4 linked regions of the Notamacropus eugenii genome follow. The protein of the gene in region 4 interacts with the protein of the main gene of each other region in a pairwise test. Links are inferred from orthologs where the notes say so. Each region holds a gene or a part of one and is shown on either strand. Other genes may lie near its edges. The genes, in order: PSMC3, SLC6A13, CFL1 and ATXN1.

Region 1 (7,600 bases), on a different chromosome or scaffold from region 4:
TGGGCTTAGGGGCAGTGAGACAGAGGGTCTCCCCCACTGTCAGACCACCCACTAAGCAGCAGACCCATCTGAATCCCTTCCCCTGTGAGACCTAGCTGCTACCCGTTGTTCAGGGTCGCTGGACAACTGCTAAAAGGCATGGGGGCACTGCCAAGGTTGAGGGATGCCCCTGAATGGCTCCATATAGTCTGGTATCCTTTCCTCTGCCACCCCCATGTACCTGTCTCCTCTCTGTGCACCAGCTAAGTCAGCTGAAGCTCCACTGCCTGAGCGAGGGCATCTATCGCAGCAGGGGTCAGCAACGGGAGCTGCGGGCTCACGTCGTGCGCTTCCATGAGTGTGTAGAGGAGACCGAGCTATACTGTGGGCTCTGTGGGGAGTCCATTGGGGAGAGGAACAACCGGCTGCAGGCCCTGCCCTGCTCCCACTTCTTCCACCTAAGGTAAAAGGCTGGAGGAGATTGCCCAAGTGCTGCTTGTGGAGTGTCTGCTCCTGGTGGCTAGGACTGACAGGGAGCATGGTGCCGCTGGTACTGGATAGCTCGGGACAGTTCTGCGGAGACATTACCAGGGGGCTGGGCAGCTGGCTGCACCCACAGCCAGATTGGGCAGTGCCTGAATGCAGGTGCCTCGCCTTTGCCAAGCTTGCTTCTTGCTACGTTTCTGCACTTTCAGGAGGTGACCATTTGTAGGGCCCTAACTTCCACCTTGCCCTCTTCCCTCACTGCTCTTCCTGTTCTGTGTAGGGTGCTGTGGTGGTAAAAAGGTGTAGCGAAATGGTTCCTGCCTTCCAGGAATCCAGATCATTCCAGACTCAACAGCATTTGGGAGGGTCCCTGGCCAGAGCCAGGACAGCATTTCAGAGGGAGAATTGGTTCCAGCTGAAGGTTTGGGGAAGGCCTCACCACGTGACCCCAGAGTGTCCTTTAGGGGAGGATTAAGGTTTATGCTGGGTGAGGATGAGCCCCTGGAGAGGGGCAGTGGCAGGGGAAGGTCATGAGGAAGTTCCAGGGTGACAGTGCATGATCGGGGCAGCTGGTTCATGAGCAATCCTCTTTGCCCCATAAGGTGCTTACAGAACAATGGGACCCGGAGCTGTCCCAATTGCCGCCGTTCCTCCATGAAGCCGGGCTTTGTGTAACGGACTGACACCCCTCTGTGAGCCTGGAAGGGGCCTGAGGGAGAAGCACGAACAGGTCCCTTCCTCCTCCTCTTCCAGTCACTGCCCAGGCCTCCCTCATCTGCCTGGACGTGCTGCAGTCCTGGACCCACCAAGGATTTCCTCGCCTACTGTGACCTCAGCATCGTTAGCCTACTCAGAGCTCCCCTTCCATGAACTCTGCCAAAGCCACGTCCTCTGGGGTTTCCCCCTTGAATTCCACAGGCTAGCTTTGTTGTCACAGTGGCCCAGAGGAGTCCAGTTTCATTGTCATCCTGGCCCTCACCCTATCCTAGCCTTCCCGGCTGCCATGTTTCTGTCCTTTACTTGGCCCCCCACATTTGTTCCCTTTCCCCTCGGGGGAAAGTTGGCATTCTGGAAGCCAGATTCCTGTCTGGGGTGGTGGCAGTAACTGGGGTTATCTGGTCCCTTTCGGGGGGCTGCCTTGCGCCCTCCCCTGCTGTCATGCTCAACCCTGAGACTGGGTGACCGACTTCCCCCACAGTAGGATACGACTCTCTGAGACTGTCTCAGCTTGGGCCAGTATACCAGGCACCAGGCAAGAAGCGGCCCTCCCCCATCCCCACTGCTCCCCAGATGATTCCAGCCAGCCCACCCTGCACTTGTTTGTATTCCCTTCTTTATAGAAAAATAAAAAGGCAATCATTTCTACCCAGGTCTGACTAAAGCTAATTGTGCTCTGGGCTGTCTCCCATCCCTGAAATGCTCTCCCTTCGTCTGAGGGCTTCCCTGAATCCCAATGAGAATCCCACCTTTTATAGGAAGCCTTTCCCAAACCTTTGTCATGTGCCTATGACAAGGCACATGTGGATAGCTTATGTATTGATGAGGTTGGTTTGTGAACCTGTCCCAAAGTATTTATTCAACAAGAATTAAGAACCTACTGTTTACAAAGCAGTTTGCTAGATGTTGAGAAAAATACAGTGTGGATAAAACTTGTCCCTGACTTTGAGAAGTATACACTATAGGGGAGAGGTGACACATTAATTAGAATATCAAATATGACTGATACAAGAAGGATCTCAGTATAGGAAAGGAGTGAGCATTTATTAAGCACCTACGGTGTGCCAGGCACACTTAATGTGGAAATGCTTTCTACCTACCCACATGGCAGTTGGTCTGTGACCTAGAGGGATCCCAAGAAGTTGCCTGAGAGGCCCATAAAGGTTAAGTAATTTGCTTAGGCTCACACAAGTACTGTCAGAGGCAGCTTCTGAAAACCAGGGCTTCCTGCCTCTAAGCCCAGCATTCCAGCTACTCTGTTCCCTGTAATATCTGCTTTATCTATTCTAATAACAGAAGTAGTAGAATTAACAGAATTACATAGGAAGTTCACAAAAGTTCACCAAAAACAATGTATTATACTAGCCATCTAGCTTTTATATAGCACTTCAAGGCTTGCAGAATAGCTTACAAATACCTCATTTTATCCTCTTAACAACCCTGAGAAGTAGCAGCTATTATCCCCTTTTGTACAAATGGAGATGGGGAAACGAATGTAGACGGGTTAAGTGAGCTGCTGAGATCACACAGGTAGGTAGTGCCTGAGACTAGATTTGAACTCAAGTCTTCCATGCAACCATACAACCTAACTGGCCTTTAGGTTTTATTAGAGATTAAAAATTAGCTCTGGAACTATGCCCAGAAGGCAATCAAACGTCAGACCCTTTGATCCAGCAATACCACTGCTTAGTCTGTATCACAGAGAGATCGTAAGAAAGGGAAAAGGGCCCACATGGACAAAAACATTTATAGCAGCTCTTTTTGTGGTGGCCAACAACTGGAAGCTGAGGGGATGCCCATGTGCTGGGGAGTGGCGTATGAATGTGATGGAGAGCTGTTGTGCTATAAGAAATGATGAGAGGCCTGGACTTCCATGAGCTGATGCCGAGTGAAACGAGCAGAGCCAGGGGAACGTGGCACAGGGACAGCAACGTGTGTGGGCACCAGCTTTGAGACTTGGCTGTCCTCAGCGATGATCCGGGAGAGTTCCAAAAGGCTGGCCGTGAAACGTGGGCTTCACATCCAGAGAAAGAACTGATGGAGTCTGACTGCATCAAAGCACACCTTTCACTTTATTTTTGTGTGTGTGTAGTCTCGCAAACTAGTTTTTTTCCTCCAAACTTTCTTCTTTCACAATATGAAGAGTGCCTGCACAGACCGTGGCCTAAAGGGCCCACGGCCTCCCAGGGCATCCTGGGCCATCTCCAGTCATCCTGAGGAACACCTGGGCACCGAACCCACATGGCTCTGGAGGAGGTGAGGCCAGGGACCTGCACAGCCCTCTGTCCCTCACAACAAAGTCAAGTGCAGTCGTGTCTTCATGTCTCTGATGGCCACGAAGAACGAACACAATATGGAAACAGGTTTTACGTGGCTGCACGTTACAACCCATTTCAAAGTGCTTACTGTCTTAGGGAGAGGGAGAGGATGGAGCGAGAAAACTGGGAACCCAGCGTTGTATAAAAAGATTAGCCCTGGACAGAAGCCTGTTTGTCCTCCTTGTGGGCCCTGCCCAGCTCTTCTCAGTGTCAGGGAATGATAAGGAGAGAGGCCTCAAGAAAGAAGCAGCTGGTGTTTGTCCAGGGAGATAGGACAGGGGGGAGAGCCCGGGCAGGGGCACCAACCCGCCAGCGCCATCAGAGCTGGTGCCCAGGCCCAGGCCCTGCCCTGCCCGAGGGCCGAGCTCGGTGCCCCCTGCTGCCCAGCTAGGCCTCTGGCACCTGCCTCCCTGCCCCGCAGCGGCCCTGGCCTCCTGGCTGCAGGTCATCTTGGCTCGGGGCATCTTCTTGGGCGGCCGTGTCCTCACCCAAGGGCTTCCTGGAATCCCAGCTAAAACCCCACCTTTTAGCCCTTGGCTCCCTGAGCTGTTGTGCTGGAGCTGGCTTTGTCTAGCTGGCATCCCCCAGCTTACAGGGCATACAGTGGGTGCTTGATAAATGCTGATTCTGTGTCCCGCCTTGAGCTAGCTTTGCACCTCCTGTGTGTGTGCTGGATGGCTCCCCCATCCGACTGGGCGGCTTAGCCTGGCATACAGTAGGCGCTTAATCAGTGCCCCTGCCGTGGGCGCACGCGGAGCCATCCCTTGCTCCGGGCGGCTCCTTAAGGAGGCCACCCCTGGCTTCCCTACGCCTCAGTCTCCCCGGCTACTCGCATCTGGACGCCTCGTGGAAGCCTGGAAGCGCGCGACTATCGCGATTATCGCCGTCCGGCTCCGCCTCCTCCAGGCAGCCTTCCCACCCGAAGCCCTTCCCTCGGGGGAGCCCCCGCTGCTCCCTGAGAACTACGAATCCCGACAGCCCGCGAGGCAGCGCAGCCTCGTGACGTAGACCGTGGCGCCGCCGCCGCCGCCGCCGGAGCCAATGACGGCCGAGAGCTCGCCCCTCCCCGGAAGCAGGCCGGCCGAAGGCGGGACCAGTGGCACGTGACCGCGCCCCGCTCGCCCCGACTTCCTCCTCACCGCCCCGCCCCTCCCCGAAGCGGTCTCGCAGATTCGCCGCAGCCGCGCTCCCGGAGCGTCGCTGACCGAGGCAGGCCGCCGATGGTGCCCGGGCCGCGCGGCAGGAGGCCGGGCTAAGCGGCGCTGGTCGGGCTCGGCGCTGGGCCTTTATCCCCGCGCGGGCCCGCCGCCCCTCCGCATCCGGCGGCCGAGCGTCGAATGTGCGGCCGGAAGTGGGGGCCCAGTGACTCGGCAGGAGAAGATGGCGTCCGTGTGGGACGAGGCTGAGGTGAGCGCCGGCGGGGGCGCCTGCTGCGTACGGAGGGGCCGGGGCCGGGGCCGGGCCGGAGAGGAACCGCGAGGCCTCGCGCGGAGGCGGGGAGGGGAGGCCAGGGCGGCCGGCGCTCCAGGCGGGGGGCACGGCCGGCGCAAAGGCCCCGAGCGGGGCTTGAACCGGCGCGAAGGCCCCGGGGGGAAGATCTCTTTGGCTGCAATGCGGAGCGTGCTCAGGAGGGGGAGAGGCCCGGTTCAGGTTCGGCCTGAGACCCTTCCGACGCTGGGCGCGTGGCTTCACTCTGCCTGCCTCAGTTTCCTCATCTGTCACATGAGCGGGAGAAGGAAGTCAAGCCGCTGCTGGCCTAGGCCCAGGCAGGACTAAAGGGAGGGGAGAGGCAGCATCCATTAGGCGCCTCCTGTGTGCGGCCCCCACTCGTGTCCTGGCAGCATCAGGGAGCATCAGCTCGGAGAGAAGGTGGAGGAGGGCAAGGAGCGAGTGTAGACGGCAGGGAGCCGCCCTCTGGGAATCGCCAGGGTTAGGGAGCGAGTGTAGACGGCAGGGAGCCGCCCTCTGGGAATCGCCAGGGTTAGGGAGCGAGTGTAGACGGCAGGGAGCCACCCTCTGGGAATCGCCAGGGTTAGGGAGCGAGTGTAGACAGAAGGGAGCCACTCTCTGGGAATCGCCAGGGTTAGGGAGCGAGTGTAGACGGCAGGGAGCCACCCTCTGGGAATCGCCAGGGTTAGGGAGCGAGTGTAGACAGAAGGGAGCCGCCCTCTGGGAATCGCCAGGGTTAGGGAGCGAGTGTAGACAGAAGGGAGCCGCCCTCTGGGAATCGCCAGGGTTAGGGAGCGAGTGTAGACAGAAGGGAGCCGCCCTCTGGGAATCGCCAGGGTTAGGGAGCGAGTGTAGACGGCAGGGAGCCGCCCTCTGGGAATCGCCAGGGTTAGGGAGCGAGTGTAGACAGAAGGGAGCCACTCTCTGGGAATCGCCAGGGTTAGGGAGCGAGTGTAGACGGCAGGGAGCCACCCTCTGGGAATCGCCAGGGTTAGGGAGCGAGTGTAGACAGAAGGGAGCCGCCCTCTGGGAATCGCCAGGGTTAGGGAGCGAGTGTAGACAGAAGGGAGCCGCCCTCTGGGAATCGCCAGGGTTAGGGAGCGAGTGTAGACAGAAGGGAGCCGCCCTCTGGGAATCGCCAGGGTTAGGGAGCGAGTGTAGACGGCAGGGAGCCGCCCTCTGGGAATCGCCAGGGTTAGGGAGCGAGTGTAGACGGCAGGGAGCCGCCCTCTGGGAATCGCCAGGGTTAGGGAGCGAGTGTAGACGGCAGGGAGCCGCCCTCTGGGAATCGCCAGGGTTAGGGAGCGAGTGTAGACAGAAGGGAGCCACTCTCTGGGAATCGCCAGGGTTAGGGAGCGAGTGTAGACGGCAGGGAGCCACCCTCTGGGAATCGCCAGGGTTAGGGAGCGAGTGTAGACAGAAGGGAGCCGCCCTCTGGGAATCGCCAGGGTTAGGGAGCGAGTGTAGACAGAAGGGAGCCGCCCTCTGGGAATCGCCAGGGTTAGGGAGCGAGTGTAGACGGCAGGGAGCCACCCTCTGGGAATCGCCAGGGTTAGGGAGCGAGTGTAGACGGCAGGGAGCCGCCCTCTGGGAATCGCCAGGGTTAGGGAGCGAGTGTAGACGGCAGGGAGCCGCCCTCTGGGAATCGCCAGGGTTAGGGAGCGAGTGTAGACAGAAGGGAGCCACTCTCTGGGAATCGCCAGGGTTAGGGAGCGAGTGTAGACGGCAGGGAGCCACCCTCTGGGAATCGCCAGGGTTAGGGAGCGAGTGTAGGCAGAAGGGAGCCACCCTCTGGGAATCGCCAGGGTTAGGGAGCGAGTGTAGACAGAAGGGAGCCGCCCTCTGGGAATCGCCAGGGTTAGGGAGCGAGTGTAGACAGAAGGGAGCCGCCCTCTGGGAATCGCCAGGGTTAGGGAGCCAGTGTAGACGGCAGAGGCCTGTGCTCTGGGAATCCCCAGGGTTAGGGAGCCTTATGCGGGCCCCCCAAGGAGAGGGACAGCCACCGTCAGAGCGGCCCCCCGGGCTGCAGCAGTGCTTTGCCTCTCCCTTGTGCGGCTCGTTTTACAGATGAGGAAACCGAGGCAGGCAGAAGGCCTGGTCTGAACTCAGCAGCACCTGGCCGCCCGCGGGGCAGGTAGGGAAGGACGGGCTCTGGGGGCTGTGTGAAATGGGGAGGACGGGCTGCTGCCATCTGTCTTGTAGCAGGAGGCCTTTGGTCCCGCAGCCCTTGGGCAGCTGGGGAAGGTGCGGATCCCTTGTTGGGTCGCCCAAAGACCAGTTACGTGGAAATGCAGCGTGGGGTTCTTGTTGGTGGGCCCCAGCTGAAGGACTTGTGGGCTGGAGGGGCTCTCTCCCATTGTGCTCACTCCCCGCGCTCCCAGCTCTGACACTCTGTGAACCCAGAGTGTAAAAGGGAGTCTGGGGGAGCGTGGAGGGGGCGAAGGCTGGCTGCCCTGAGAGCGGAGGCAGGCAGGAAGCTCGCTGAGAGAGTGACCCACTCCAGCCACATAACATCATCATTTCTGAAATAACTGCAGACAGTACGGAGGCGCCTGTGTGAGCACAGTTACAAACACTCGTCACACGGACGAGGACAGACCTAAGGGTCTCGTGGGTCGTTTACTTATTCCCTGCCGTACCACCACCTCTTA
Region 2 (7,545 bases), on a different chromosome or scaffold from region 4:
TACTACCCTTGCCTTTTTTCCCCTAATATATTCTACTTCTGATCTTTATTTTATGTGTCTGTCTTATTTCCTATCTCTCTTATCTCCTCTGCTTAACTTCTACCTGCTACCTCACTCTCCTGTTACTTAATCTACCCTCTCACAAAGATACCTCCCTTATTCTCTCCCTCCACCTTTCCCCTTGCCCTCTTGTTTCTTCATAACTTTATTTATTTATATAATTATATAAATACATGTAAATTTATATAATATAAATCATATATATAAAATAATAATAAATATATAATAAATTCATTTATATATTTATAAATATATTCTTGTTAAATTTATTCCCTTCTGAATATATGTATTGTTCTTTTACCCAGATATGATGTGAGTAAAGTTCTCTCTAAAAATCTCTCCCTTATCCTTTCCCCTTTCCCTACCCCCTTAGCTTTTTATTTCTTTCTGAACTGAGAAGAGTTTTTTATACCTATATTTCCCTCCTTACTGCATTCCTAATAAAAGTAGTGTTTCAGAACTACTAGACCTCCTCCCGCATCTAATTCCTCTGTGTTGGTTCTTCCTTTCATACCGCATTTTTATAAGATAATTACTCATTTTACCTTTTTCTAAAAAGTTTTACTATTTAGAATCACATCATACTCAGGTCTGCCTCACTCTTTCTTTTGAACTACTCAGTTACTAATAGCAATCTTACACGTATGTTTTACATTTCCTCACGTGAAAAAGAAACAGTCTGTCCTTACTGAGTCCCTTATAATTAGTCTTTGAAGTGTATCTTATATTTCTCTTGAATCTTATATGTCAAATTTTCTATTAAATTCTGATCTTTTTGCAACAAAATCCTGAAAGTCTGTCAATTCATTGAATGTCCCCCCTTTTTTTCCCATTCAGATTATACTTAACTTTGCTAAGTATGATATTTTCAATCATAACCCCAGTTCTTTTGTTCTTCAGCATATAATGTTCTGAGATCTGTGGGTTTTTTTTTTAAGTGCAGCTGCTGCTAGATTTTATGTGATTCTAACTGTGATTGTCATAATGAGTTATTTTGTTTCTCGTTTCTCACAATATTTTCTCCTTGAGCTGGGAGTTTTGGAATCTAGCTATGATATCCCTGTAGTTTTTCCCAGTAGTATCTCTTTCAAGTGGTGATTAGTAGATTTTTTCTATTTCTACTTTCCCTTCTTGTGCTAATACTTCAGAATACTTTAATTATTTCTTGTATTACTCTTATCAAGATTCTTTTTTTGATCCTAGCTTTCAGGTAGTCTGATTATTCTTATGCTTTCTCTTCTTGATCTCTTCTCCAGATCAGTTGTTTTTCTTATGAAAAATTTTCTTACTTTTTTTTTTATTCTTTGTATTTTGTTTTATTATTTCTTGATGTCTTGTACTTTCACAGGCTTTCCCTTGCCAGACTCTTAATTTTCAAGGAGTTGTTTTCTTCCTTAAGATCCTGGATCTCCTTTTCCAGTTTGTTGATTTTCTATTCATAATCTTATTTTTCTTGGATTGTTCTTATTATTTTCTTTAAAATTTCCTTAATCTCTCTCATTTGATTTTTAAAGTCTTTTTTAAGTTCTTGTATGAATTCTTTTTGGGCAGGTGACCATTTGATGTTACCCTTTGGTTCAGGAGAGGTTTTTTTGTTTCACTATTCTCCGCTGAAGAGGAACCCTGGTCCTCTATATTCCCATAGTAACTCTTCATGATTGTATTCTTTCTCCCTTGCCTGCTCATTTTTTTTTTATTTGTAGCAGTTTATTATTGTAATCACCTTTAGTCCTGAGGTGTGGGGGATGGTGCTTCTGACCTCAGATCCTCCTTCAGTTCTCCCTCTTGGACCTGGAACTGAAACCAAGAACTCTGCCTTCCTGTATGTACTCACAGCCAGCAGCATCCCCAACCCCATTGCTTCTGTACTCACTCACCTAGAGTGGTGTCTGGGCAGCACAGATGGGCTTGGTGTCCCTTATCAACAAAGGTTCCCTCAATCTTTCCCACTCAGATGCCTGATACCCCACACTGTCTGGGAGGTGAAAATCCCTGTGATTGGGGCTGACCCAACCTCCCAACCAAGCTAGCCCCAGGGCTCACCACTTGCTGCTTCAGTGGAACTAGCCTGGAGATGTTTACCCTTCACAGACACCAAATATCAGTCCTTCAGATCTTCTCTGGTTGTTCCAGGAGGACCACTGTTCTACTACAACTCTTATTTATTTTTACTACTCTACATTCTCCCTGAGGCGCTATTTTGTCTTATTTGTGGGGGAAATCTGGAGATCTTGGAATTTTCTGACCTATTCCACCATCTTCCCAGAATTCGTGAGATTCTGGACTATTTGTTCTTCTAGATAATATTCCCCCACCCCAGTTCTATAAAGTAATACTCTGGTAGTTTGATTGGCATGACATTAGATAAATAGCTTTATTTAGATAGTAGTGTCATTTTTATTGTATTTTCATTGCCTACCCATGAACAATGAATATTTCTCTAATAATTTAGGTCTATTTTTATTGCTATAAAGAGTGCTTTACAGTGCTATATTTTATCAGAATTCATTGTCTGTTGATATAATAATGTGATTTTAATTCTTGTGAATTTTGTTAATAATGGCTGTTTAATATTTTAATAATGCCTTTTGTTTATGGTTTTCCTAATATTTAATCCATCCTGCATTCTTGATATAAATCCAAACTGGTCATAGCGTACAATCTTTTTAATATGTTTTTATAACTTCTTTGCTAATATTTTGTTTATATTTTTACCATATTAATTAAATATATTGGTTTACAGTTTTCTTTCTCTGTTATGTCTTCATTGCCCTCTGCTCTGTGCTTTTCATTCTTCTGGATTTAGTCATTATAATTAAACTGCCTTCTTAACCTAAAGCTCCCAACCACCCAGTACCTGGGGCCTTCTTACTTTGAAATACTCTCCCCTATTCTTGTCCTTTTCTCCTTTTGTGGAGTTCTTTCTGGGGCCTCCATCTTGGGGACAGGCTTAGGCCAACCATATTTCATTCCTTTTTGAGCTGTGTATCTTACATTCTGCACTTCATTACCATGACCCCACATGCATTCCTTTCCTCCTCCTCCTCCTCCTCTTTTATATATCTCTTCCCCCACCCCAATCATGAGAATGTAAGCTCCTTGAGGGTAGTTAATATCTTTTTGCTTGTATTTGTATCCCTAACACAACACAAGGCCTGGCATATAGTAAGCACTTAATAGATGATTGTTAGCACTTGCCTATCTCTTCCTGGTTTATTTATCTACAGTATATTTGTATGGTAGGATTCCTTTTTTATTCTTTTTGGAAATAGTGTATGTAATGTGAAAATCAATTCTTCAGATGTTTGATAGAATTCATTTGTAAAGCCATCTAGTCTTGGAGGTTTTTCTTTGGGTTTTTGTATGTCACTGGTCCTGTTTCTTTTTCTGAAACAGAATTATTTAAATTCTCTAATTCTTATGTTCATCTTCAGGATTTTATACTTTTTGTAAATATTCAGCCATTTAATCTAAGTTATTAATTTTGTTGGCATAAAATTAAGCAAAAATAAATTTTGGTTGTCTTATTTCTTCTTGAAATTCAATTAATATATAAGTTTAGATGATATGTAATTCAATGTATATATACTAAATGCTGATAGTGACTTATTATCTATGGTACCTGTAGATATAACATAGGTTCCCTGTTTATCTTTTGTAATTGTGTCTTTTACTGTACTTTGTCTAAGACCATGATTGCTACTCTTGCTTTTTTAAGTTCACCTGAAATATAATAGATTCCCCCCCCCAATAGCATTTAAGTTTTACCAATCAAATGGAAAGATAGTTTTCAATAAGATTTTAAGTTACATTTTTTTCTGCCTTCCTACCTTCCCTCTCCACCCCTCTCCTCAAGAAGGCAAGCAATCTGATGATTAATGATCATGTTAATATTTTCACATTAGTCATGTTGAGAAGGAACAAATGAGAAGAATGATAAGAAAGAAAAAAACAAAACAAAAAAGAACAAATAGTATGCTTCGATCTGCATTCGGACTCCATGAGGAAGACTTCCATGTACTTGGATTCCTTGGCCAGTTTTTTGGGGCTGGATTCCTCCCCTAGTACCCACAAGTTTCTGGATGTTTCTTCATGTAGACCTGGGTTGGGAAGATGCACTTACTATAGTTTCTCCTTAGATTTCTTGATCTTTACTCAGCCTTATTCTCATTTTTCATCCTCAGTGGATTAGTTGTGAAAAAAATGGGGCTATTCTGCTCCTATATCCTCTTCCATCTTTGCAACAATTCCCCTGTTAGAGTTTTCTTGAGCCCATTGGGTGCCACTCCCAGGTGCATGTGGTTCTATACTATGGTCATATGGATTTACATGTGCAGACTTACTCCAGGTCTTTATATAACTTGGGGTTTCTGTCTCTCTTTCATCATTACATGTGTTCCTGGTTACATATGGATGCTGCATGCACAAGAAGGATTACAACAGTCTCCCATGAATGAGATGGAAGTATTTAACTCAACCTTGAGAGTGAGAATGTGCCTTCCTGCTATACTTTCTTCTCAGTTAAAAATGTACAGCTTCTGAAAAATACATTGGATGCCATTGTAAGTTGTCTCTTTCATATTTAGACATTTTTATTTATTGAAAGGTATAGGAAAATAGTATATTTGTGTGAGAAATATTGAAATAAAACAGCTTCTCAGAGGAAACTTCTATGTGGACATGAGAGAAAGCAACCTTTCAGAGAAAACATACTTAAAGAAATTAAAGATAACTGAAGTATCATTTCCTCCAACAACTCACTTGTATGAGTGCTATGTGGATTTCAAGGGTGATAGCTATAAAAGCCTAACTAGCACTTTTTTTGGGGTAACTATGGTATAGTTGTGCATTGTTTGTCTGGAATTGGTCTTGTGATCCATGGGTGAATTTTGGTTTCTCACCCTAAGGTAGAGGTGAGTTGCTTTACACAAGGAGACCCTGCTTTGAGGCAGGGGTCAGACAGCAAATGGAGTTGGTGTCCAGAGAGAGAAGCAGAATGGCTTGAAACTGAATGGAGAAGAATTAGAAGAGCAGGAGAAAAGAACAGCTTCTTTAATGCGAACCTAGCCAAGACCAAATTAATGCAGGATAATAGGCTTTGCAGCTAGTGCTGGGAGTTGAGCTGATTGGAGGAAAGAAGAATCTTCAGCCATTTGAAGAGCTGACTGGGGAAAGGAAAGGTTAGCTAGGCTTTACTTCCTTTTACTACCACTATCTTGAAAGGTTTTTACTGTCACCTACTGCTGTAGATGGGAAAGTCCAGGAAAATTGAGTAAACAAACCGGTTTCCTGAGAGTCTAGCTGAGTCATATCATTGGTTATTTTTGAAAAATTAAGGACAAACAAGAAGTGAATAGACATAAATTGCTCTGTAGCCCCAGAGCTTCTGGCTTCATTAAAAGAGCAGTAACACCTTCTTCAGCAGCCCAAGAGTAGTAGCTAGTAAGGACCTGTAAAGAAACCAGAAGTGACCACCCAGAAGAGAAACAGTCTTGCCCAGGAGCAGATGAGTTTTGCAGATTGTCTCTTATGGAGACTGACATCCAGACTAGTAGTCCAGAGTTGTGAGTTGGTCCAGACACGTGAATTTCTCTACCTATGCATCTCTGCTAGATTTCTGCAAACTTGTGCCCACTTTCCCCCATGGATACTTTGTACATTGATGGGAGAGAATGATTTATGGGTAGATCATTATATAATGATTATTTTTGGTTTTGCCTTTGTATTTAATAAATGTTTCATGATTAAGAATTATTGGTGTCATATTGTTTGATCTGTTTCTTTGAGTAGAACATGGGTGGAGGCTCACAAACTAAAGTAATAAGCAGTTAACCTACAGTCCTTCCACATCAGGATTACCCCTAGGACTCTGAGAGAGTTGTAGCTGCATGGCCACACCCTATGGGGAACCACCCCAACCTACCAGAATGTCCAGCCTAGAGAGAGAGTTGGGGTCAGTGACATGCCTGTAATATACCATCTTCCTTAAAATGTAGTGGACTGCCCTATGCCAGCAAACGTTGGTGGGGGTATATGGGTAACATTCTTTTTCATCATCCTTAGCCCATCATGCCTCATCATTGATAAACCAAGCACCCTCTGGGATGACTTACAGCTACTTGTGAATACCCCATCTCCCTCCTCCTATTTGGTCACTGTTTTTCAGCTTGAAATCTTGTTCAATCTGTAATTTAGGGCAAATGGGTATATCTCTAGTTTCTAGAAGATAAGACACCATAGAGGGCTACTGTTCCCTTAGGACTGTCATAGCTGAAATAGTGGGCAGGAAAGAGTTGTCCTCTAGACTTAGCCCCTCTAGACTTATCTATAAAAGAGGTTTCCCAAGAAGTCTTCCCAAATGCTTTACATAAATTCTACTTCCTCTTCCTTTGGATTTTGCCCTGGACCCTCCTTATATGGGTAATCCTTTAATGTCATCTTTTTTGTTGTGTTTGGTGGATATGTCTTTATAGGAATCTGGTTGCTCAACTCTCCCATGCTTTTGTCTTTCTGTTTTCCAAGGAGTCTGAGAGTGAGTGTAAATAGAAATTATTTCTCTTCTCAGAAACTCTGAGGGTCTTCCCCTCCCTGATTGATTCTTTTGTGAAGGCTAAGTAGGCCATCTTTTACCTCAATTTTTACCTAGCCTTTGACTACTGAATGTGTGTTGCCTCAGACAAACTGAGACCTTGGGAAGACATTAACTCAAGAAGGGCAAAGTCTCTCACTGCATTCTGGGCCAGTACCAGTCATCCTGACCTATGACTTGCCTCTGGACTCTGATGACTATGGTGGAGATAGTGGGGCTGATGACTTTGCACAGCTCTGCCTCAGTTAAATCCAATTCACATGCAAATTAAAAACATCACCCTACTCATGTAATTGGTTCTCTTTGAGAATGGAGGACAAGCAGCAACAACCACCAAGGAGTCTGATTAGCTCTAATACTGGCTATATGTGATGGTGCATGTTTTTCAAAGGGCCATGGCTCTCTTCTGGGGCTCTTCTGTAGAATGCTAAACCATCTTCTCTTAATCACTTAGGGTGACTCTCCAGTGGTGTATGAGCTTGCATTTTCTCAAAGCACCAAGATTTTATAGCAAGATATGATCCCTTAGCAGGAATTCCTGACAACAAACTTTAAATTTATACTATCACTTATAGCTTTCCATGCTCTTTTGAGCTGAAACTAATCCTAGGCAATAGGCTTCCCTCAAATAATTTTTCAGGTGAGTGACATACTAGTCATGTGTCTCTATATCTTCTTGATCCTTAGAAATGCTAAAGTACAAGTCCATTGGCAGCGGGGCTCTTATCCTGTGCCTCTGGTCTTGCTCCTGGTGACATTATAATTAGAGGTCACATGCTGACTCCAATACTTTGGTGACTGCAGAAGTCCTCTGGTTTCTGGTTGGATATGTGTGGCATATCTGAACCAAAGGGCCTTCCTCTAGGGCAATGGTATCAAACTCAAATGGAGACAAG
Region 3 (7,525 bases), on a different chromosome or scaffold from region 4:
CAGCGGAGTCTTTCCTTCACTAATGGAAATAAAGCTGCCTGCTTTGGACCCAGCATGTTGTGTGCTCCCTTGAGGCTGGCTTCACGGGAAGCTAGCTCCTCCACAGAGTGAGAAGCCCCTTCCCAGTAACAGGCTCATCTGGCAGAGTTCCTCCTGGGCCCAACTCCAGGGAAAAGAGACTCATAAAACCAATAGCCCAGAGATCAGAAGGCTTGGGAAGGGCCCACCTTAGGTCAAACTGTAGGGAAGATCCAGAGAAGACGGCTGTCTTCCAGCCAGAAGGCACCGATCAAAGCCCCAGGCCCAGGCAACAATTCCGTCAGAACTCGGGAGAGATGGTAAAGGGAACCTGCCATACTTTACCATCCCCAAATCCCTCCTGCCCAGCCCAGAAAACAACTACCTGCAGAGCAGCTCACCTTTTCTTTATTTGTCTTTTTTTTAATTGAACTTTCCTTTTACTGGCCACATGAGTAACTGGGGGAGGGGGGGAGGGGAGCCGGCTGTGTGGGGGAAGGGATCTCCACAACATTCCATTTACACACCAAACTAAACAACAAGCACAAAGCCACTATTACGGTTAGAAGTTGGCAGCACCGGGGAAGGGGGAAAACTGGGGGTGTCAGTTAAAAAAAAATACTGGCCTCCCCCCCATCTGGGCATCGGGGGGACCTTGGTCTGCTACAACTCAGGAGGAATGAGAATATCAAAGGCGGTTTGGGAAGGCCAGGGGGTGGTTTGGCAAAGGGGTGAAGGGATTGCCCTGCCCCTGCTAGGATCCCCCCAGCCCTTGGGTCTGGCAGGAAGGGGGCAGCCTGCTCCCCCACTGGGCTTGGGCAGCCCCAGCAGGAGGGCCAGACGTGGGAGACTCACAAGGGCTTCCCCTCCAGGGAAATCACGGCATTGCCCCCCAGTTTCTCAGCCAGGGTACAGCGGTCCTTCACTTCCTCATAACAGTTGGCTTGTAATTCGTGTTTGATTCCTGTGAGAAGGAATGGAAATGGGCGAGTCAGAGCCAAAGTGCCCTCACTTTACAGATAAAAACCCAGCCTTGAGCTTCCAAGGTCCCACCACAGCCAGTCAGGCTTCTCACCCAGTTCTTCAGACCCAACGAAATTCGGCCTTGAGCACCAAAGAGGGTTACGCTATTGGGAATGCCATCTCTCACACACGCGCCCGCACACACACACCTGTCAGTTTCTTCTTGATGGCGTCCTTGGAGCTCGCATAGATCATTTTGCTCTTGAGGGGGGCACACTCAGGGGCCCTGGCAGGAGAGAAAACAGTCAGTGCCCAAAATTCCCAGTGCGTGCCTCTGGGCAAGCCTGGCCTTGAGGGGCCCACCGCCCTCAGACTCACCAGAAGATGAACACCAGGTCCTCCTTCTTGCTCTCCTTGGTCTCGTAGGTAGCATCGTAGAGGGCATAGCGGCAGTCCTTGTCCGGTAGCATCTTGACAAAGGTGGTGTAGGGGTCATCCACAGTCTGCCCCACGTCACCCACCAGGATCTCCTTGCCCTCCTCCAGCACGATGTTCTTCTTATCCTCGCTCAGGCAGAACAGCACGGCCTTCTTGCGTTTCTTCACCTCCTCGGGGGTGGAGGACTTGCGAACTTTCATGTCGTTGAACACCTTGATCACCCCGTCCGAGACAGCCACGCCAGAGGCCTGTGGGCACGGAGGGGAACAAGTCAGCAGGTGCTCGGAGGCTTGCCGGGCCTTTGCGGGGCACGCTCCCGGCAGAGGCGCTCTACTCCTCGTCTGACTAAACGCCGCAGAGCCCACGCTGACCAGCGTCAGAAGGCAGGACCTCAACTCTGACCTTCTGACTCTCGGCCGCCCCGAGCCCCCGGAGCCCCCGGCCCAGCTCCGGCCACGCCTCCCCTCTAGCTCAGGGGCAGCTCCTGCCTAAGGGCCGCAGATGAGGGCTCTGGAGCCCCCCTGCCCCCACAACCGGGGACAGAGCCTCCCGGGCCCCCAGTTCCAGGACGGGGGTCCTGCTCTGGCGCTTCCCCCTACCACGACACCAAAAAGGCCCCGAGGAAGCAGCCGAGATCGGCGCCGCTTCCTGAGGGGGAGGGGAAAGAGCCCGCCCCAGGAAGACAAGCTCGGCACCCCCTCAGGAAGGGGGGAGGGGTCCGGCCCAGGCCTTCCGGACCCACTTCCCCAAATTGGGCATTAGCCTCGGAGTGCCCCCCCACCCGGCCTGGGGTGGGCAGCGGCGGATCATCCTCGCCGGAAAGGGCCAGGCCGCCCCCAAGGCATCACGCAGGGCCCGACACCCCGCCCTCCTCCAGCTGCGGAGCCGCGTGCTCTGGGCTGAGCGCGCGCCCCCTCTCTTTCCCTTCCTCCCCCTCCCCAACTGCCCCTCGTTTTGCTTCAGCCCTTGGAGGTGCGCGCATGCGCGACGCCCCCGGGTACGGGGGCCGCGCGCGCCCCTAACCCCCCCCAACACTACATAACGGTTGGGAGGAGGAGGGTCGCGCGCGCGCCCGCTGCACCCAACAACCGTCAACGTCAGACGAGCACGCGCGGGGGGGGGCGTCGGGGCGCGCGCGCGCCCGCCCGGCCACCCGCCCGGCGCGCGAGCCCCTCCGCCAGCCGCCAGTCTCGCCCGCGGCGCCCCAGGAGGGGGAGGGGAAGGGATGGGGAGGACGGAGGGGAGGATGGAGAGGAGGATGAGGACACCGCCCCGCCCGCTGCACCGCCTCCACCACCCCCGCTGTCGGGCGCCGGGCCCCCTCGGAGCTCTCTGGCCCGCGCTCACCATGGTTCCGGAAAGGAGCGAGCGAGTGAGGGAGGGAGGGTGAGGGAGGAAACGAGGGCCACAGGAGAGGAGGGCGTCGCTCCTTCGCCGCCGCTGCCTGGAGCCGACTGAACGCGGCCTCTCCCGGCCCCTTCCGTTTAGTAGGAGCCGCACAATGAGAGGCGGGGCGAGCTTCCGGCGCTCTGGAGACGGGGCCGATGGGAAATGAAGTTCGGAGGCGCTGCGCCGCCCCAGGGCACGCCGGGAAGTGGAGTCTCCCCAGCCATGCTAGACTGCCCGGGGAGTTCGGGCGTTCGGCCCCCTGCGGAGAGGGGCGGGGCCAGGAGCGCTCCACCTTGGGTTGGTGTCCCGCCTCCGCTGCTCCGCGACGTCGGCTCGGGCGCCCGGGGCGAGAGGCCGGGGCTCTGGGCCCTTGGATCCCATTCCCAACGTCACAGCTGCCCAAGGGTCCCCAGTTCTAGTCCCCATTGTACAGAGAGGAAAACTGAGGCTCATCTCTTATCTCTCGTTGTCAGGAGCTGGGCACCACGTACGGCAGACGGAGAAACTGAGGCAGGAAGCCGCTGACTAAAAAAACTGGGCTTTGACGTGCAGCCTCTTTCGGTGCCCATAGGCTCATCTGTGCTTGCCTCCGCAAACACGACCAACCAGGAGACCGAGGGGAGGGGGTACACCACTCATGACTGGGTCACCGAGGGTGGGGAGTGCGGGGGGAGGAGCAGGGGATTTGCGCCCCCATGGCATTCCCTCGGAGATGTGAATGGCTGAGATTTTCGGCACTAGGAACCGAGCCTGCAGAGCCCCCCATTTCACAGATGGCATAACTGAGGCCCAAAGCCAAGGCGGTGAGATCCGCCCGGAGCCAAGGCAAGGTGGCACCCATCTTCTCGTACCTCTCCCCGCGCCCCGTCGCTTTCCGTGGGAGGGGAGGGGGCGCGGGCTTCGCGGTCGCCCTGGAGACCAGCCCCCCCCTCGCCTGCAGCTCTGGGATGCCCCAGATCGCCTTATTAGGGCATGAGCCGGGATGGGGCGGAGCCAGGCAGAGCGCCCGTGCACCGCTCCTTATATGGAAACTGAGCCTTATATGGAAACTGCGGGAGGGCAGGCCCAGGGCTGGCGAGCGCCCGGGAAATCCCTGGCTGGGCAGCAGCCGGGCGGTCGGTGACCTCTGTGCCTGCCCCTGGCCGCTGCAGTGAATGCAAAGCGCGAAGTCGGAGACCCGTCCAGCCTCCTCGCACGCTCCCTTTGTGAATTCTCTAGCTCTCTTCTCCTCTGCCCATCCCCCGGGCTCTGTCCGGAGAGCACCCGCTGCAAACGTCCAGGGCTCGAGCCGGACCCCTTGAACATAACCCGGGCTCTACGGAGCCCCCTCTGGACATCCCCCAGTCTGTAGCCCAGTCCTTTTCTTGCAGATTCCCCCCCACCAGTCGCCTTTGCACATCATTGGGGATGTATTCTTTCCTCCCCGCCCCCACCCCCGTGCAGATCTCCCGGGCTCCAGTCCCCTTTGTGAATTCTCTGGGCTTTATGCCCCAGCTCCAGTGCCCTTCGCTTCTCTAGGTTCAGACCCTTCCGCACGCCCTCTGGAGGCTCCCATCCTCCCTGCAGGCGCCGAGGCCGATCCTGCAAGAGAGCCAAGGTGAGAGCGGTTTTCTTTCGCCCTCCCGACCACAGGGGGCGCTGTTCCCGTTTCCCCATCCGCGCAGCACTCGTTTATCCCTTCCTTTCTCCTTCTGCTAGAATGCGGAAGGGGTGGGACCTCGGTTCCTGGGTGCTATGGTAGGGAGAGCCCAAATGCTGACAGCCGCGGGGGGAGCTGTGTGAGAAGCTCAGCACTCAGAAGTAACCATTCGTGGGCGGGGGGGGGGGGGGTGATGTCCACACCTTCCACCTTCGGGAAGCCTGAGAGCCGGGGCGGGGGCTCGGGTCACGTGGCGCGCGGGGAGGAGAGCGAGGCCCCGCCCCCCACCCGGAGCGCCGGCCGTTCTAACTCGAGTCAGAGCTGAGCTATGGCCGCGCCCGCGCCCCGCCTGGGCCGGAAGCGGCCGCTGCCCGCCTGCGCCAACCCGCTTTTCGTGCGCTGGCTCCGCGAGTGGCGGGACGAGGCGGCCGGCCGGGGCTTGCGGACGCGCTTCGTCTATCAGAAGGTGGGCCGGAGGGTGGGGGTGGGGTGTGCCCGGTGAGGTAGGAGCCTGGAAGGGAGTGGGGAGGGGCCTGGAAGGGGCGGGAGGTGGGCGGGGACTGGAGGGGTGGGCGGGGTCTGGAAGGCCCTGGAGGTGGGCGGGGCCAGGGCCCTGGGGGCTGACCCGCCACACCAGCGCCCCTGCACCTCCAGGCCCTGCGCTCCCTGCTGCGCTACCCCCTGCCCCTGAGGAGCGGGAAGGAAGCCAAGATCCTGCGGCACTTTGGGGATGCGCTGTGCCGGATGCTGGACCAGAGGCTGGAGCAGCACCAGGAGGCCGGCCGGGGTGAGGGGGGCCTGTCTGACACCCAGCCTGGATCTGCCTGGCCGGGCACCAAGCTAGGGGGCGAGACGAGGGGCGGGGCTGGCCTGCCGCTCTGACACCCTGGCCCTTCGCTCCTTGGGATCCAGGGGTAGCAATGAACCTAAGCCCTGCCACTCTTGTTCTCAGGCCCCTCAAAGCCTCGATATCCCCTGTTCTCAGGCCCCCCCCGGCCCTGACATCCCCCGTTCTCAGCCCCCCCGGCCCTGACATCCCCCGTTCTCAGCCCCCCCCCCCGGCCCTGACATCCCCCGTTCTCAGCCCCCCCCCCGGCCCTGACATCCCCCGTTCTCAGGCCCCCCCGGCCCTGACATCCCCCGTTCTCAGCCCCCCCCCCCGGCCCTGACATCCCCCGTTCTCAGCCCCCCCGGCCCTGACATCCCCCGTTCTCAGCCCCCCCCCCCCCCCCCCCGGCCCTGACATTTTTGTTCTAAGCTGCCCCTGTTCTGATGCTGTGGTTGTTTCCTCAGGTCTAGGCGAGCTGCGGGTCTCTGAACTTCCCCAGGTGGGGTTCAGCACACCCCCAGAGGATGCAGTCCCTTCTCAGTCGGTGAGAAGGGACCCCCTAAGGCTCACAGGGTTGGGGGGGATGGGAAATCTCTGGAAGAAAGGGGAGCTCAGAGCAGCCATTTAACATGTCCAGCCTGGGGGTGGGGTGTCCAACCCCATCGACCCGTGGAGGAGCTGAGAATCTGCCTAGGGCAGTGGTCTGGAGGCAGCCAGCACCAAGGGGCAAGAGGGAGGGAACAGCTTGGGGGGGGTCAGGAATCCTTTCCTTTTTCAGGTCCCCCCCCCAACTGAGCTTTGAAAGAAGCTAAGATCCTAAGGAGGGAGAGGGAGGAATGAATGCTGGGTGCGCCTGTCATGTTGAGATACCAAAGACACCAGAGAGGGAATGGGAGCTGGGTCCCACAGTGGCACCCGAGCTCTGGCATTTTAACCAAGACCTAGGATGGAGATGTGTGGGAAGCTAGTTGTGTGGAGGCTGGTTGGCAGTGGGCAGAGGCTGGGGCCTGAGAGATAGTCATCCAGGGCAGCAGTGAGGAGGGGCTCCAGGTGTGTGTGAAGAGGAGCTCTGCATGTCAGAGATGGGTGGATGATTGACAGGACTGGATGCCTGGTGGTATCTAGGCAGGGAAAGGTGGCCAGCCTATAAAGATGCCCCCAGGGGTGATGGCAGGAGCTTAGGAGAAACACTGAAGGTCACGTGGACAGATTACAATAACGATAACTGAACTGTGAGGAGGTCACCGAGAGTGGGTGGAGAGATGAAAGCCTAGGATGGAGCCTTGGAGAATGCCAGCTTGGTGCCAGCAAAGGCTTCTGAGGCCATCTGAGGGATGAGCCTCCCCTTTGGGGAGGGGAAGGCAGTCTCCAGGCAGGAGAATTGAGGAGGGGTGGACAAGGAAACCATCACCCTGCTCTGGGTCTGGGAAGCTGTTGGACTCAGGAGCACCTCTCCTCTGCCTGATGTAGGGCCCAGGCCAGCCCAAGGCTGGTGGCCGCAGCAGCTACAGGCCACCCCGACACTCAGCTGCCCGGGCTTTGCTGCTGATTCTCTACAGGGAGCAGCTGGTAAGCCTGGGATGGGAGTGGGAGGGTGGGGAGAGGACAGGGACACAGCCTGGAGGCAGTTCAATGAGACCAGGTAGGGTTGGGGACAGGGATGGCCCTGGGGGACACTGACCCTCTGCCTCTTTTTTGAGGATCCCAAAAGCCCAGGGTTCCTGACCAAGGAGGAGCTTCTGAGGAGGTGTGAGCAGGAAGCACCCAGGGTAAGAGCCGGGGATGGCAGGGGTCCCCAAGAGGCCAGAAGGGAGGCTTGCTGTCCACAGCCCTGCCTTGGCCTTTTCCTTTGGGGCTCATGAGAAGTTAGCCACTCAGTGACTTTGCTGTGGAGCAGAGTGTAAGGCGAAGGGCCAGTCCTTAGACATAGTCTAATCCAGCTCCTCAGTTTATAGGAGGGAGAGACTGAATCTGAGAGAGAAGAAAGAACTTTCATAAAGCTCCCCCTGCTCAAGTGGGATACATATGGGGTCCTCTGACTCCAGCCCTGGGGCCTCCTCACGGGACCATGGGAGATGACCCTTATCTGCCTCTGCCTCTTACTGGTCAGGTGACCGTTATCTGCCTCTGCCTCCCTGTCTGGTCAGGTGGCCCTCAGCAGCAGCACCCAGCCCTGGCCATCCCTGCGTTCTCTCCTTCACAGAAATCTCATCCAGAAGAGCCAGCAGCCAGCCAGGTGAGGCCCAGGG
Region 4 (7,340 bases):
TAGCACCCTCCGTCAATAACCTTCATTCCGAGGAGTCAGCGGATCAAACTATTTTCATCCGATGAATAATGCAAAGAGGTTGTTGGAAGATGGCAGGGGTCTCTGTTAACTGAAGGTTTCATCAGAAATCCAAATGCAGAAAGCTTACCTAAGGCATTAGCAAAAGTGTGCCTAAATAAATCTGATAACTAACTAACCATTACTACATAATATATAACAATGACGATTAAATATTAAGTGCAGTCCACATCATAAAAAACAAATGTCACCAAACTGGGAATACTCTGTATCTAAAACTGAACTTATTCACCTATACACACGGCTGTGTATTCAAGACCATATTTTAAGGAGAGGATGATATTTCAAAGCATTAGCTTTTATTGTTTATGCACAACGGGGTCTTCTGATTTTGTTAACTGTATCCTGAGCATCTTGTGGGGGAAGCTCAGAATCTCATCCGGGATAGATCCAGTTTGGAGGAGTCCCTACTGCACAGCATACGGTAAACAAAATAAAAATAGCTTGTTCTTGTTATCCACATAGAGCATTATATAACCAGCTTCCGACTTGGGTTTTTTTTTTTTTTTGCCATTACTACTCCTCAGCAATTTTCCCATCTGCAAAAGTATTTAAATGTTCCCAATTTTTGTAGGGTTGTAGCTATCAAAAACAACAAAACAAAACAGTGCTGGAATGGGTTTTTGCTGATTCCCAACGTCCTTGGAAACTGTGCAGTGTCCCCCCCTCCCCGACACAATCTCCATCAGCTTCAGTCCCTCCTCCCTCACCCCTCACCAAGGTTCTCCCTAGAAAATCGGAATTGTTTTACCACTTCCAGCAAAAACCCTGCATGGCCTGAAATAAAACGAAAGCCCAGCACAGGAAGTTTGAGGCCAACTGAGGCGGGGGAAAAGGTGAAGGGGTTGAAGCTGGTGCAGGAAGAAAAAAAAAAAAAACAAAAAGCAGGAGACCAGAGATGACCAAGGTCCCAATCTCAAAGTCCCTTTCTAAGCATGACCCCTTCCCCCAATACACACACACACACACACACACACACACACACACACGCTCACACACGCTCACACGCACGCACGCACACGCCCCTCTTATTACAACACCTCACTTCTACCTCTCCCCTTTGGGCCCCGCTTGCACACCCTCCCCCTCTCCCTCGCTTGCCCTCTGGGGACTGGCCTGCACTCACTCAGCACTGGAACAAGTAGGAGGCGGTGGTAGTGGTAGTGGTGATGGTGTCTCCGGCCTGGCCCGGCCCTGAGTGAGCAGCGGGGCTACTGGGCGCATCCCAATCCCTGCAGCGTCTCCTCCTCCTTCTCCTTCCCCTCCTCCTGGCTTCATTCACCCTCTCAGCAGCCACACAAGCCCTTTCACTCTAGGCACGGGGGCAGGACTTGCCCCGCGGCCACCAGCTCCTCTACTACTCTCTTACGCTCTCTCCCGTGCAACGTGCAGCCGGCACCCGCGAGCAGCCTCCCCTCACCCCTCGAACCGAGTGCTAGCCAGGCACCGGGCAGCGGCAGCAGAGCGGCGGCGGCGGCGGAGGCAGCAGCAGCAGCAGCAGCAGCAGCAGCAGCAGCAGCAGCAGCAGCAGCAGCAGCAGCGGAGGCTCCCTCCACATGATCAGGAAGCCGCCGCACAAACAAGGCAGCAGCCAGCCAGGGCCGCCACTCCAGCCGCGGCCGCTGCTCCGGGCACCCACAGACACACTCACGCGCGCGCGCGTCCCCTCCCCGTTACCCTTGCCAGCCTCAGTCTCTCTGTGTCTGTCTCTGCCTCCCCCTTACGCCCCCTCCCCAGTGCTCCCACCCCTCTTCTTCTAGCCAGGGCAGTAGGTCTTGGTCACTTGCAAAGTCCTGGACAGACCCCCCCCCCCCCACACACACACAGAGTTTCCACTTCCCCTAGATGTGTACACACACACACACACACACACACACACACACACACACACAGATGGACAATCTTCCCAGGCTTGGCGACCCCCAGTAGCAAAGAGGAAGAAGCCGGTAAGCTGGGAGTCCAGCCCTCCCCAGAATCAACACATACCTACGCGTGCACGCTCGCTCACACACACACACACACACACACACACACACACACACAGAATCCCTCCTTCCCAGTCTGGAGAGTGCAAAGTAGGGGTGAGTGGGGGGAGTGTTGGGGGGGCTGAGGTGGAGAGGAGTGCAGGCTGCTGCTGACTCCCTCTGCGCCACCCCGAGGGAGGACATTTCTTACAGGCACTCGGGAGCCCGAGTGGCAGCAGCAGCAGTAACAGGGGTGCACTGAATCTCCCCGGGCACCCAGGGACAATCCACCCCCCGCCCCCTCCCCCCAGGGGCGCGTGTCCCCCACCCCCTCCCGCCCACACCTATTCCATCTGCTTCCTGGCCTGTTCCCTTAGCCAATTGCCCCAGCGCTAGGAGTGGGGGTGTTGGCAACAGAGAGGCTGAAGCGTAGGAAGGTTGTATGTACACACACGCACACAACACACACACACAACACAACGCGGATCATTTTCTTCTCTGCTCTTCCAGCTGTGGTTGGTGCCGCCGCCGTTTGAGGGTTTGGGTTGGATTTGTTTGTTGTTGTTGATGATGTAGTTCCCGGGATAGCAGAAAGAAGGGTCTTAATCTATATAAGGGGAGAAGAGGACGGGGAGGGGGGAGGGGGAAGAGGGGGGAGGAGAGTAGAAGGGGGAGGGGGAGAGAAAGAAACAGGAGGAAAAAAATAGCCACTTACTGTAAAGTGTAAATGGATCTGGGGTTGCTTGGGGAAGGGGGGCAGAGGGAGAGAAACAATGTCTTGCGGCGGCTGTTGCTGCTCGCTGCTGCTGATCCACAGGGCTTGTTTTTTATCCCCCTGCAGTGAAACAGGTCCTGGACGCCTCTGCCACTGTAGTAGAAATGATGTCTGCGGTATACACTGCTCTCTCCTCCTCCTCCACTCCCCTCCCTCTCTCCCTCCTCCCTCCACCCCCCTTCTCTCTCTCTCTCTCTCTCTCTCTCTCTCTCTCTCTCTCTCTCTCTCTCTCTCTCTCTCTCTCTCTCTCTCTCTCTCCCTCTCTCCCTCTCTCCCTCACTCTCTCTCTCTCTCTCTCCCTCCCTCTCTCGCTTGCTCGCTTGCTCCAGTATGTAAATGTGTAATAGAAGCCAAATATGGAGCAGTTGGCTGCCGCTGCAACCGCTCAAGGATCCTACTGGGGGGTGGGGGGGAGTGAAAAGAGCTGGGGGGGGGGGGGCGGGGGCAGAGGAGGCCGGACTGGGGTGGGGGGGGAGGGGGAGGAGGCAAGGCAACTCTTTGGCGAACATCCAAGAGAGCCACACAGATTATTGCATACGCACAGCAGAGCCCGGCCAGCCGGGCTTAACCCTTCCCTGGTCTCTGCACAGCCTTCTTCTAAGAATTTACTGGGAGGGATTAGGGACTGGCGGGGGGTGGGGGCTGGGGGGAGAGAGGAAGCAGTTTTCATTCCAGAACCTGCACGCATTAACCACTCCTCGGAAAAAGTAGCTTTTTGGGGATGGGAGGCGGTGAGGGATGATAGTAAAGGAAGGGTGGCAGAAATGAAAGGTCAAGGTGGTGGGACTGGCTTATTTAAACCTCAGAGGGTGGGTTCTTACAACGCCTCCGCCACTGCCTCCCCCCTACACAGACACACGCACACGCACACACGCTCACACACTCTTCTTTCACTTCCTTGGCAAGCAGGCAGGGAAAGGTCTCCGAGGAGCTCCGACTGACTTTTTTTACTCAAACCCCAAGGAGGTTACAGAAGTGTCGACTTCCAGGTGAGTGCCAGAGAGAGAATTACTCAATCGACATTGACCTAACCGAACTAACCGCTCCTCTGGACACAGATGCTCAAAGTGTCTTGCCTCTGCTAAATGAACAACTCATGTCAACCCTGAAACCGGTTGAGCGAGCAAGTGGGTTAGCAGTTCAAGGCTTGGGAACTCATTCTTTAATGCAGAAGATCGAGGATGACTACGAGGTCCCTGAAATCTGCACTAAATTCTATTGGGGAAACTTTGAGGGACTCCCCTTTCCCTTACCTCCACTTTCTCTGAAGCCTAGTAACTGACTACCCCTTGCCCATTCCTTTACTCTCGAAAGCAGGCCAGAAAAGATTCTTTGGACCCGGATGTTCAGTAACTATTCCTAATGTCTCAGCAGAGCAGCCAGCTACAAGAGACAACATCTTCACCTGGACAATGTCAAGTTCATTGATTTAATCCGAAATGAGGTCCTAGTGAAAGTTGGGGAATGGCAGATGTCAAATGAACTTTAGACAGCTGATTCAAGCACATCCTCTGGGCTCAGTGGTAAACTCTTCGGGGTTGTTAGGGTTTTTTTTTTTCTTTTCTTTTTTTTATCCCTTAGTTGAATGTTACCTCAGTAGGAAGGAATCTCTTTCTGAGAATTATTCACCTTGCCAACAGGTGTGGCATACATAGAGGAAAAGAAGCCACATTCATGCTGAAGCAAGCTCAGTTTCCTCTTACAGCAGATAAATGGGGAACCTATAGGTGTCGGGACACTGTCTGGTCTCCTTCATGGAGTTAGTCTGGATAAACAGGGAACATTCAGCTCAAAAAGAAGTTTACATTGCATTTTAATACTCTACTTGTTGCCTCTATGTTGAATGGATCTTTCAGCCTCATTCATGTGTGACTGAAATACATTAGTCAACATGTCATGCAAATCCAGAATCACCAAAAGAAATGTGGTGTCAGCTTGTAGCCCCCTGAAGGGCTGCAAAGCCTTGTACTTTAGATATGAAAATAAAATAGTGTGTTGAGTATGAAAAATAATTTTTTCTATCATTTTGAAAATCCGAGCTCATAATTTGTTACTCATGAAAAAGAACCATTGGTCATCATTACTCATTTTTATTTATTTTTACCATTTGAAAATCCAGGGTCTGCTGTACAATGACATTGTTGGTCTCATTACAGCCTCTAGTGGACAGTTATGATCCATTTCTCAAAAAACTGTGATCTTTTTTGCTGTTCCAATGGACAGGCATTAGCAAAGTGAAGGTTGGTATCAAATAACATAACAAAACATAAAATTTTAACCTCCTCATCAGAGTGGGATTTTGAACAAAAACAGGAACTGGTTGGTTTTATGCAGTAATGGCTTCTTTTTGGAGCCTCAGGTATTATTACTGGCTTGTGAATAAATAGAGAGCTGCTGCTATTCCTTTCAGCTTCAGACAGCTTTCATAAAAACTAAATTCATCTAAAATATTTTTATAACAGAAAATATTGGTTGCCATGTTTTTGGCTTAAGTGAGACATTTTTATTCCAACTCATAATCTGCAGACTGTCCAATCCACCTCCAGTCTATTTTTAGTCATCTTGCATTAAGAGAATTTTTTTTAATAAAGAAGCAAATATTTTTATTATTTCATTGACATAAGCAGTTCAAGTTATTTTAACAGCCTTCAGCAAATTAAAACTCATAATTCAGATTAAAGTCAGTCAATTAATTTAAATGCACCCTTAAGGAAACTAAATCTGTATATTACTAAGACAGTAAAACAAGAATGTGCATTAATTTCTGAGATGAACAGCCATAAACTATGACTTAAATCTGTAACTATTTCTTCCTGCAAGTCCAAAAACTAAGCATAATTTTCATGATACCGTTTCATTATCTAGGGTATTGGAGACAGTTGTTTTCAGATGAGAAAGGATTAAATTGAAAATAAGACAGATCTGGCACTGTCTCTTTAAAAGTGAGACTATCTCATGCAAATAAAAGCTTAGTCAAAAGAGTACAGCTTTCATGAAACAGTAAGCAAATGTGTAGTACTATAGTACTATTCACAAACCAGATATTACATTCACACATGGACAAGGCAAACTTTAAAAGACAAGGAAATGCCTAGAAAAGCCTTCCATTCTGTCCTCTGCCACCATTGTACTCCTGGATTCGGGGAATCTTCCTACCTAACATATGTCTTGGATTACTTAGCTATCAGGAACATATAAAGAAGTCTACCCATTAAATTTTATTGGCTGCATGTTTGTGGGATTAGAAATATTGTATCAAGAATGCTTTTATACTTTAAAATAATTGGCTATAAAATAATAGTTTCCAAAAAAGTTCATAACTCCCACAGTATTCCACTTAACTCCTATGTTCATTCATCCCCCTTGTCTCTTCTGTCTGTTCCTAGAGTCTTGTCCCCATCAGTTTGTGCCTTTAAAGGTTTGGGGGTTTCTTAAAGACATAATTATTTTCTGCCATTTCTGTGTTCTAGTTCATGAACTCCCTAATTTGTGGACACAGTAGTAATTTTTTTCAAAGACATTGCACCCTGCTGAGGAAATTGTACTGAAGTCTGGATGAGTTAATGTTTCCATCAAAGCAGTAGAGGGAGCACAAGCGTGCTGAATGTAATAATTGTATGGGTCTCCAACTTCAGGGCAATTTAAAAATAGTGGTTCATAAATCGGTTTATTGGCAGTCGTTGGATAGGTATGCTTTGTTTAATTATTGACAGAGATATGGAGTTAAAATATTTACTACCACGTTATAGCAGTTAGATATGGACTGATGTAGGCATCTTTTCAAGTTTAGTACTCAGCACATACACCTATTTAGAATTTTTATTTAAATTCTTTGATGGAATTTTGATCTTATTCCAGTATCCTCCACCCACCCAAAACTCATAACATACCCAAATCAAACACTGCAACTTTGGATAGACCTTCCTCAAAAACAGTTAACTCATAAACACAGTCAGCCTTGTCTCATTTTGACTGAAGGACTTAGCAAAAAAGACATTTGCACAGGATCACAATAATGTTGTTTGGAATGAAGTATTATTTTAAGAATATATAATAATATTAATTTTTCATCAGTTTTGACTGCTTAGCTTTAAGGCACATGATGAGAATTTATCTTATATTTGTGTAGCACCCTATATACTTTGAAAGCCCTTTTAAAAAGATTTCATCTTTATATATTTCTGTGAGGTAACTAAGATGATAAATGAGGCCACTGAGATTCATGGAGATTATATAATTTAGGCAAGGTTACAGACTAGTGTCAGAACTTGCTGGAAAACCCACATCTATTGACTCTTAGAAATTCAGCTCCAGTTGAATTTCTCCATAACACCTGTAAGTGGATTATAAAATTCATTTCTTACTGATCTATTCAAGAGGCCTAGGTTCAAATCTTGACTCTAAAATTACCATTATCTTCCCAGTGTAGTCATTTAACCCCTCTGAATATCACTTCTTTCTTTTATCTGTGTTTACCTAGGGGAACAAATCTAATTCTTTAGGAGGTGAATTTCTGTTGTGAT

What was found.
Region 1: the proteins of ATXN1 (region 4) and PSMC3 interact in binary tests that used the Homo sapiens proteins (3 or more experiments, as listed by UniProt). The link is inferred for Notamacropus eugenii from reciprocal best matches to the Homo sapiens genes ATXN1 and PSMC3.
Region 2: the proteins of ATXN1 (region 4) and SLC6A13 interact in binary tests that used the Homo sapiens proteins (3 or more experiments, as listed by UniProt). The link is inferred for Notamacropus eugenii from reciprocal best matches to the Homo sapiens genes ATXN1 and SLC6A13.
Region 3: the proteins of ATXN1 (region 4) and CFL1 interact in binary tests that used the Homo sapiens proteins (3 or more experiments, as listed by UniProt). The link is inferred for Notamacropus eugenii from reciprocal best matches to the Homo sapiens genes ATXN1 and CFL1.

Annotation. Positions count from the first base shown.
Region 1 is NC_092877.1:3,554,233-3,561,832, forward strand, and holds the start of PSMC3 (26S proteasome regulatory subunit 6A), read left to right. Parts: upstream 1-4,590; 5' UTR 4,591-4,880; coding exon 4,881-4,907; intron 4,908-7,600. Other genes in the region: RAPSN (43 kDa receptor-associated protein of the synapse), read left to right, coding at 243-442, 1,068-1,140.
Region 2 is NC_092874.1:203,661,768-203,669,312, reverse strand, and holds the start of SLC6A13 (sodium- and chloride-dependent GABA transporter 2), read left to right. Parts: upstream 1-4,537; 5' UTR 4,538-4,622; intron 4,623-7,545. UniProt on the Homo sapiens protein: Mediates sodium- and chloride-dependent transport of gamma-aminobutyric acid (GABA). Mediates transport of beta-alanine. Can also mediate transport of taurine and hypotaurine.
Region 3 is NC_092873.1:18,552,602-18,560,126, forward strand, and holds CFL1 (cofilin-1), read right to left. Parts: upstream 3,004-7,525; 5' UTR 2,770-3,003; coding exon 2,767-2,769; intron 2,311-2,766; exon of another isoform or gene 2,201-2,310; intron 1,668-2,200; coding exon 1,360-1,667; intron 1,268-1,359; coding exon 1,191-1,267; intron 983-1,190; coding exon 870-982; 3' UTR 409-869; downstream 1-408. Other genes in the region: crossover junction endonuclease MUS81, read left to right, coding at 4,776-4,913, 5,102-5,234, 5,741-5,820, 6,747-6,845, 6,977-7,045, 7,424-7,512.
Region 4 is NC_092875.1:189,267,005-189,274,344, forward strand, and holds the start of ATXN1 (ataxin-1), read right to left. Parts: upstream 3,004-7,340; 5' UTR 2,758-3,003; intron 1,730-2,757; exon of another isoform or gene 1,205-1,729; intron 1-1,204. UniProt on the Homo sapiens protein: Chromatin-binding factor that repress Notch signaling in the absence of Notch intracellular domain by acting as a CBF1 corepressor. Binds to the HEY promoter and might assist, along with NCOR2, RBPJ-mediated repression. Binds RNA in vitro.